2 linked regions of the Sus scrofa genome follow. The protein of the gene in region 1 interacts with the protein of each later gene in a pairwise test. Links are inferred from orthologs where the notes say so. Each region holds a gene or a part of one and is shown on either strand. Other genes may lie near its edges.

Region 1 (4,153 bases):
ATTCAAAGTGTAACCACACCACTCCCGAGAACTCCATCCCTGCTCCACCTCACTAGTTTGAGGACTTGGACAAATTATTTAATCTCTTTGGTACTTCTGCTTCCCTGTCTACAAAATGGGGATAATGTTATGATACACACCTTCCCAGGCTCATGAAGAGTAAAGCAACTTACATCTGTAAAACTACTGAGATCATTAATTAATTGCCATGAGGTTGGTGTCATGGCATAGTGGAGGTGGTTTAGTTGGGAGGAAGAAAAATTAGTCATTTTCATGTGTTGTCTAGTTCCTTTTCCGCTAGAGCAAGCTTTTTCTATAAAGGGCCACCCGGTAAATATTTCGGCCTTGTAAGCCAAACAATCGCAACATTCGACTCATAGTTGTGGTTTGAAAGCAGCCATAGACCATATGTAAACAAACGCGTGTTTCTCTCCCAGTAAAACTTGATTTACAAAAGCAGGCAGCCACCTTGCTCCCAGTCCCACCCTCCCTCAAGGTCACCTCCTCTTCCCTCTGACTTGACCTGACTGCCCCCCCTCCTCTGCCGGCCCCGTCTTTCAAAGTAGCAGGCAGCTGGTGGATGGGATGGCCTGGGAGCTTTCCTGTGCCCCACGGGCTTGCTTTCCTGGGAACCTTCCCTTAGGCACGTGGTCTGTCAGATGTTGGCCTGCCTGAGGCTGGAAGCCAGTTTGGGGTGTTTTGAGCTTCTTAGATGTGGGGAGTTCCGTTTGGAGATTTTTATTGACAAGCATTCCTTTAGCCAGCAGTTTTATTTTATTTTTATTTTTTAAATTTTTTTTATTTTCCCACTGTACAGCAAGGGAGTCAGGTTATCCTTACATGTATACATTACATTTTTCCCCCCACCCTTTGTTCTGTTGCAACATGAGTATCTAGACAAAGTTCTCAATGCTATTCAGTAGGATCTCCTTGTATATATATTCTAAGTTGTGTCTGATAAGTCCAAGCTCCAGGTCCCTCCCACTCCCTCCCCCTCCCATCAGGCAGCCACAAGTCTTTTCTCCAAGTCCATGATTTTCTTTTCTGAGGAGATGTTCATTTGTGCTGGATATTAGGTTCCAGTTATAAGTGATATCATATGGTATTTGTCTTTGTCTTTCTGGCTCATTTCACTCAGTATGAGATTCTCTAGTTCCATCCATGTTGCTGCAAATGGCATTATGTCATTCTTTTTTATGGCTGAGTAGTATTCCATTGTGTATATATACCACATCTTCCGAATCCAATCATCTGTCGATGACATTTGGGTTGTTTCCATGTCCTGGCTATTGTGAATAGTGCTGCAATGAACATGCGGGTGCATGTGTCTCTTTTAAGTAGAGTTTTGTCCGGATAGATGCCCAAGAGTGGGATTGCAGGGTCATATGGAAGTTCTATGTATAGATTTCTAAGGTATCTCCAAACTGTTCTCCATAGTTAGCCAGCAGTTTTAAAACAAAACAGAATGGAGTTTTCTGGAGAGAACACAAGTGGAAGGGAAGGCACGTTAGTCTCTGTGACAATGGGCCACCAGCTGGTCCATTCTTGGAACTTTGTGCTCTGGACAGCCCGGACATTTGCTCAACCACCCTCCTTTCACACCAGAGGTCTACTTAGCCAGACCCCTCTACACCCCAATTAATAAGGAGCACCCCTCCTCCTGTAGCCATTCTGAACCCCTCATCAGAGCCTGGGCCTTTCTTGGCTGCCCTGACAGCACTGCTGCACCTTGCTATTCCCTGTGCAGCCTCCTGCTCTTGGGCCAGGACGCTGCCTGTGGCCACATGACTCAGCACTTCCCAGCAGCTGCAGTCCAGGTGCCCTCTCTGCCTGCCCCGTGCCTGTGCCAAGACTTGGGAACCAGGCTCTCCCCACCAGCCTCTTGGCTTCTGGAGCAGATCCTCACTGGGCCCCCCAAAAGACTCAGCGCAGCCTGGCTCCCAGGCTGACCTCCCTCACACTGCCTGCCCTCAGGTTCTCTGCCGGTGGCCCCCTGCCACCAAGAGGAAGCTTAGAAAGAGCCTGGGTGGAGATCCCTGGTGGCTCAGCAGGATAAGGATCTCAGGTTTGATCTCTGGTCCAGGAACTTCTGCTTGCTGCAAAGGTGGCCCAAACAAATAGTGCAGGTGGAATCGAAGGAGATCCCTGAGGGGAAAGCTGCAATCACTCCTCAGCCTTATTAGTGAGAAACCAGAGGTTTCCTGCATTGATTCTGGAAATGGTGTTTAATCAGTGGCTGCAAGAGATGCTTCAAATAGGAAGCTGGTTTACTTTTTTTTTTTTTTTTTTTTTTTTTTTGCTTTTTAGGGCGCCTTGCAGCATATGGAGATTCCCAGGCTAGGGGTCTAATCGGAGCTGTAGCTGCCGGCCTACACCACGGCCACAGCAACACCAGATCCAAGCCTCGTCTGCAACCTACACCACAGCTCACGGCAACGCCAGATCCTTAACCCACTGAGCAAGGCCAGGGGTCGAACCCATATCCTCACAGATCCTAGTCAGATTCATTAACCACTGAGCCATGAAGGGAACTCCCTGATTTGCTTTTTTTTTATAAAGAATACCTATAAAAATGGACTCTGTGTGAAACTGTATTTGTCCTTCCCGGGAAGTGATTTTATCATGGAGAGTTTTGTATTCTGGAGGGTCCTACATCCTGGGTCTGGATGAAGTGACTGCAGTGGTGGATGTAAGTCAGGAGGAGCCTCAGGCCACCTGCGCCATCAGGATACATACAAAGCCAGAGGCCCTGACGGGCAGCGGAGCCCTTTTCAGCGCTCCCCGTGTCTCTGTCAGTGGGGAAGCCACAGCAAGTGGCCCCAGCCGTGCCCACCCTTCTCCGCAGGGCCCATCTTTGTCTGTCCTCCCCTCAGGTTTGAGCTGATGCGCATGTGCTGGCAGTACAACCCCAAGATGAGGCCTTCCTTCCTGGAGATCATCAGCAGCATCAAGGATGAGATGGAGCCTGGCTTCCGGGAGGTCTCCTTCTACTACAGTGAGGAGAACAAGCCGCCTGAGCCGGAGGAGCTGGACCTGGAGCCGGAGAACATGGAGAGCGTCCCCCTGGACCCCTCGGCCTCCTCGTCCTCCCTGCCGCTGCCCGACAGACACTCAGGACACAAGGCTGAGAACGGCCCAGGCCCTGGCGTGCTGGTGCTGCGAGCCAGCTTCGACGAGAGACAGCCTTACGCGCACATGAACGGGGGCCGCAAGAACGAGCGGGCCCTGCCTCTGCCCCAGTCCTCGACCTGCTGATCCTGGATCCCGATCCCGTGCAAACAGTACCGTGCGCACGCGGGCGGGCGGGGGGAGAGTTTTAACAATCTATTCACAGCCTCCTGTACCTCAGTGGATCTCCAGAACTGCCATTGCTGCCCACGGGAGACGGCTTCTCTGCAGTAAACACATTTGGGATGTTCCTTTTTTCAATATGCAAGCAGCTTTTTATTTCCCAACCCAAACCCTTAACTGACACGGGCCTTTAAGAACCTTAATGACAACACTTAATAGCAACAGAACACTTGAGAATCAAGCCTCCTCACCCCCTCCCTGTCCCTCTCTCCTCTTTCTCCCTCTGTCTCTCACCTTTTTCTTTCTGCTTCTCGATGGAAACGCATTTGCTGCAAGCCCAGCCGGGACGCCCTTCATGTAGGATTGAGGAAAGAGCTGTCCCTCCAAGGCCCCACCTTGCCCCAAACACACCATAGGTCTTTGTAAAAAAACATGTTGAGATGAAAATTTTTAACTGAATCTTGAACCTTTAGGGACATACGAAATTTAAAAAGGGCCATCATTCATCCCAGGTTGTCACCATGTTAACGCTGCCAAATTTCTGCCACAACCCCGCACTTTCTCCCTCACTGTCCCCTCACTGTCGTCTTGTCTCCAGAGACCCCGGGGCGAGCACGGTAGCTGGTCACTTGTAAGAGCCACGCTGATGATGCTCTCCGCCCGATCGGCCCCAGGGTTCTTTTCAAGTCTCACATTCACACAGGTGTAACTGCTTGTGACAAGGTTGTCACTTGGGGGAACTGGACAGAATGAGACTGTGTCTCAGTGAAGATGGGGAGAAGCGTCCCCGCCCCACCTTCCACACCCCCACCTTCTAACCCCCAGGAATTCTGGAGCAAACAGGCCCTCTCAGGAGCCTGGA
Region 2 (4,378 bases), on another chromosome or scaffold:
AGGGCTCTGTTTCCATGGGAACCAGTGGCACAGGCTGGCTCTCTCCTCGGGGTGCAGAAAAGGGAAACTTGGCAGATGTTTCAGGCACCTGGCTCCTGGGAGGTTTCCCTGGGGACTGAGCAAATGCCCAGGAGTCTGCCCTCCTAAGGGGCAGGAAGGGACCCCTTCCCCAGGATGCTCAGGGGCTCTCACTCCTTCCCTCCACCACCAGGAGCTCTGGCCAGGTCCCTCAGCTGCCCTGATGTGGTCCCATTCCGGACCCACACACTGGGGACAGATGCCAGGCCACCTGGAGAGTGTTAAGGAGCTCAGGGCTGGGGTGGGCTCTCCCATGGCAGGCAGAGCCCCTGAACGGTGAAAGGAGATGGGTAAAGGTGGGCATAGATGAAGCAGGTGCAAGACCCCTGCCTGTGACCCACATAATGTGCCATGGTAGCCATCACCATGGCGGGGGTGGTGGTGGTGGCGGTGGTGGTGAGAGGGCCCAGCACCCAGAATGTCCCTACCAGGAGGATATTCCAGATGCCAGGGGTGCTCAGAGGTCATCTGTAGGGTAGCTGGAGGGACAGCAGGGAGCCCCCTCTCCGCAGCTCACCTTGACTGCAATGGCCTCAGCTCATCTGGGAGGTCATGCCACCTGGGGTCCATAAGAAGGGGCCAGTAGGATGAGGGAGGGGCTGGCCTGTTCTGGAAAATGCTCTGGGAGGCTCTCCAGGCCCCACTGCTGCCCTGCCCCCTACTAGGACAGGAACTTGTGCCTGAGCTCCCCTCCCCCCAGCCCGGGCTCTCTGCACCCCCACCTCCCTGTTCCAAGGTCGGGGAGCAGAGAGAGTGTGGGTTAGAGAAAGACAGTTGGGGGGAGGTGGCACACAGAGACACCTGGTGACAGGGAAGAGGGGACACTGAGAGAACCGGACTTCGACAGGCCAAGAGGGCGATGTTAGGAACGATTTGTACGGAGAGTGGGCCAGAGAGCCTGGGAGAGACGGAAAAGATGAGAGCGAGAGACCGGAGAGGTTGAGCGTGGAGGGAGGCAGAGCAGAGGGGGTGGAGCGTAGTGTAGACGCGCGCACGGAGGGAGGGTGGGCAGGGGGCGGGCGTGGAGCCGCCAGTAACAATTACGTCTGGATCCAAGCAAACATGAGGCGGCTGCCAGCCCGGCGGCGGTGGCGGCAGTCCTGTTCGCCTCGACTGCGTTCAGGGGAGGCTGGCAACAGTTTCCTCCAGCGCCCAGGATGCAGCGGGCAAAGGTAGGAGCTGGGGTGCTGGGCGTTCGCCTAGGGCTGGGGAGCGGGGGCTTCTGGGGGTTGCCCTGGACCAGAGAGCCTTGTTGTGCCTCCTCCTTTGACCCCATCCCCGGATGTCCCCTGTAGGGTCGCTTTTAAGAAAGTAAGTGCTGGAGTGCCCTGGCTGGGAGGCTAGACTCCTGGGGTCCCCTTTGGACCTTAAGCGTCTGTGCGGAGGAGGAGCCTGGGGTCGGTCACGTGGTTAAGTTATGGGGCAGGTGCCAGGTGCTGACCCTGAGCCCACCGCTGTCGTGTAGGGGAAGGGTGAGTGCTGGGAGAGGATGTCTTAAGTTTCAAGGCTGGTGGATAAGTGCAGGTAATTAATGAATGCCCACTTCCTAAAGGACTCTGAGACCCCTGCCTGGGACACATACTGGTAGTTCCAACTCTGTGGGGCTGTTGGGAGATTGGAGAGAGATGGTGTGAGGAGAATGCCTGGGATAGAGTTCAGGACATGGTGGCAAGGTGATGGGAAGGATGAAGAGTAATGAAATGCAGAAAAACAAAGGGAAGGAAAATAAGCTGTCCCCCAGAATACAGTCAATACGTGGAAAATGTGTATTGATGCCTTGTCAGCTCCCCACATGTTTGAAACAGTCTTCCTTTGGAAGGAAGAAGAAACACCAGAATTAGATCTGACTGCTTGTAACAGAACAGCCCAAATAACAGTGGTTTTGAACAAGGTTGCTTGTGTTTCTCTGTCATGCTGAAAAAATTTGGAGGGAGGTAATAGAGGGCTGGCACGGAGGCCCCACAGTCAGCAGGGACTAGGCTCCATCTGTCTCAGCAGGGGCTCTCAGGATCCATCTGTCTCACTGGCTTCCATTCTTGAGGTTACCTTAAGGTCCAAAATGGTTGCTGGAGCTCCAGCCAGCACACACAGGAAATAGAAAGAAGTAAGGGCAGGAAAAACCCACCTCAAATCAAGGTTTTGTGAATAAGGAAGAATGGATACAGGGCTGGCATCTGGCAGTCTCCCCTACCCAGCCCCCTAGAGATATATGCCCGCCTCTGTCACCCACGAGGACAAGCAGCCCAGAGTGGGCTTGTGGCTGCTGGCTCCAGGCCACCGTACCCCAGACCACAGGCCACCCCTGGTCTTTCTGGTCCATCTCTCAAGGGTGCCAGGAGAATGGGTAGAGCTGATGACATGAAACCCCATGAGCCTGGCAACAGGGCATGTGGAAGAGGTATTTTATCTCCTGTCCCCTTAAATCTCCCCAGCAACCTTCAGGCTGGTAGGACAGAAGGAGAGAAACTTAGCACCTTGTCATAGGCTCACACACTGTGTGGTCACTGCACACACATGCTGCGGCAAGCACAGGTCTCATGGATCCACAGGCATCAGCATAAGCATGCAGTATGCACAGCCACGCCATGCGACCACCTATAGCGGCCTGTGAAGCACAAGCTGCGTGCACTCAGGTAGGATTTCTAGAGTCAGGCTGCATGCAGATGTCCCTGGGCAGGGGACAGTCCTCCTATCTTTCCTGTGCTGGCCCTACCTGCCAGGAGGCTACTCCCTGTCCCTGCCAGGGGGGTGGAATGAATGGTTCAAGTCCTGCAGGTGCATCTGGCCCTTCCCGAAGCCCTTGTGACTCCACACTGCCCTCCACCATAACCAAGCCCCAGTGGCTGTCACTGTGCCTGCTGGTGGCCTTCCTGAAACTGACCTGGCCAGAGACTGGAACTGGTCCTACACCTTCTGGTCCTGGTGAGGCAGGGACAGTGACACTACCCGGTGCCTCTCCAAGGTCGGCTGGGAGATTGAAAAATCACCTTCCTCTGTAGCGGCAATAGGGACTATGGCACAGAGCACAGAGCACAGGCTGGGAGTCGGCCCCCCTCACCCACCCTCTGCTGTCTGTCACTGTCATTTGTGGATCCTCACAACATCCCGGGGGCGGGGGGCGGGTAGGCACTGCCACTTCCCCTTGTGCAAATGTGAGGCCTAGGGGTGGCAAGGCTTGTGCAGACAGGACATGAACTCCGTGAGCTCTTATGAGAAAGGAGCAAACAGAACCCATGGCCGGCTGCAGCAGGTGTGGGCTACCAACCTGGTCCTCATGGCCTGGCATGTCCACCCTCTACCTGCCCAGGTTCCCAGCTTCTTGCAGGGCATTCGTGGGAGGTGGGCCCTAATTTTCTCCTCTGTTTCTGAAGATAGAAATCAAGCCCCAAATCGAGATGAGTAGTGAAGTGGCTCTGACTGTTCTCCAGCTGGAGCCTGGGACAAAGTCCGGGCTGAAGGGTGGGAGCCTGAGGTGGCCGCTCCTGCTTCCATGGTCTTCCCAACAGGCCCCGCACCTGCGTGATCTTCCTGGACCCCCATGCTGCCCCCGAGGTAGCTCTTGGTATTGTACCCACTTTAGAGATGAGGAAACTGGAGCCTGCCAGCTGTACAAAGTGTTACAGCTGGGTTTGAACTCTGCTCTCTCTTACTCCAAAGCTCAGTTCCCTAGGGCTTGGGGGAAGGCTACAGGAAGAGAGGGGTGTGCCTGTAACCAGGCAGCTGAGGACGTGCCCCATCCCATTTGGGGGCTGGCTCCATGGGTTTGTGGCCTGTTGCACCCTCTGACCCTTTGGTGAGTGCCCACAAGTCAGACCCCACCCCTGGCCATGTCCCCTGGATTAGCCACATGACCTTGAGCCAGCCACAGTCCTTTTCTGGTCTGTGGGTCCAGAGCTGCAAAGGAAAGGATATCAGGAGCCCTCTCGTTATCACAATCTTCTGCAAGAGTGGGAGCTGCTTTGCTGACTTGGGCTGGCTTGGGGCCCATCTGCTCTCCCACCTCACCCAGGAACATCTCTGGGGACACCCAGGAGCAGCTGCAGAGCCCTGAATGTGGCCTTTGTGAGGGAGAGGGGCAATCTTGGTTTCCAAGGCAAAGAAAAGAGATGGGCCAAGAACTTGGCAATTCTTCCTTAGCTGGTCCTCCGGCCCCAGGCAGGAAGGAGACAGAGAGGGAGGGAGGGAGGATGCTTGTGGAGTGAGTCACCACACTCCCCCCAACCCCCCCAGCTGACTGATGTTTCTCTGAAACAGGTGCATCTGTCAGCTGTGATCAGCCCACGTCCTAGAGCCACAGAGC

What was found.
Region 2: the proteins of IGF1R (region 1) and KCNIP3 interact in binary tests that used the Homo sapiens proteins (3 or more experiments, as listed by UniProt). The two-hybrid records come from large-scale screens. The link is inferred for Sus scrofa from reciprocal best matches to the Homo sapiens genes IGF1R and KCNIP3.

The regions. Positions count from the first base shown.
Region 1 is NC_010443.5:137,389,288-137,393,440, reverse strand, and holds the end of IGF1R (insulin-like growth factor 1 receptor precursor), read left to right. Parts: intron 1-2,873; coding exon 2,874-3,255; 3' UTR 3,256-3,356; downstream 3,357-4,153. UniProt on the Homo sapiens protein: Receptor tyrosine kinase which mediates actions of insulin-like growth factor 1 (IGF1). Binds IGF1 with high affinity and IGF2 and insulin (INS) with a lower affinity. The activated IGF1R is involved in cell growth and survival control.
Region 2 is NC_010445.4:45,996,850-46,001,227, reverse strand, and holds the start of KCNIP3 (calsenilin), read left to right. Parts: upstream 1-1,310; 5' UTR 1,311-2,648; coding exon 2,649-2,711; intron 2,712-4,378. UniProt on the Homo sapiens protein: Calcium-dependent transcriptional repressor that binds to the DRE element of genes including PDYN and FOS. Affinity for DNA is reduced upon binding to calcium and enhanced by binding to magnesium. Seems to be involved in nociception.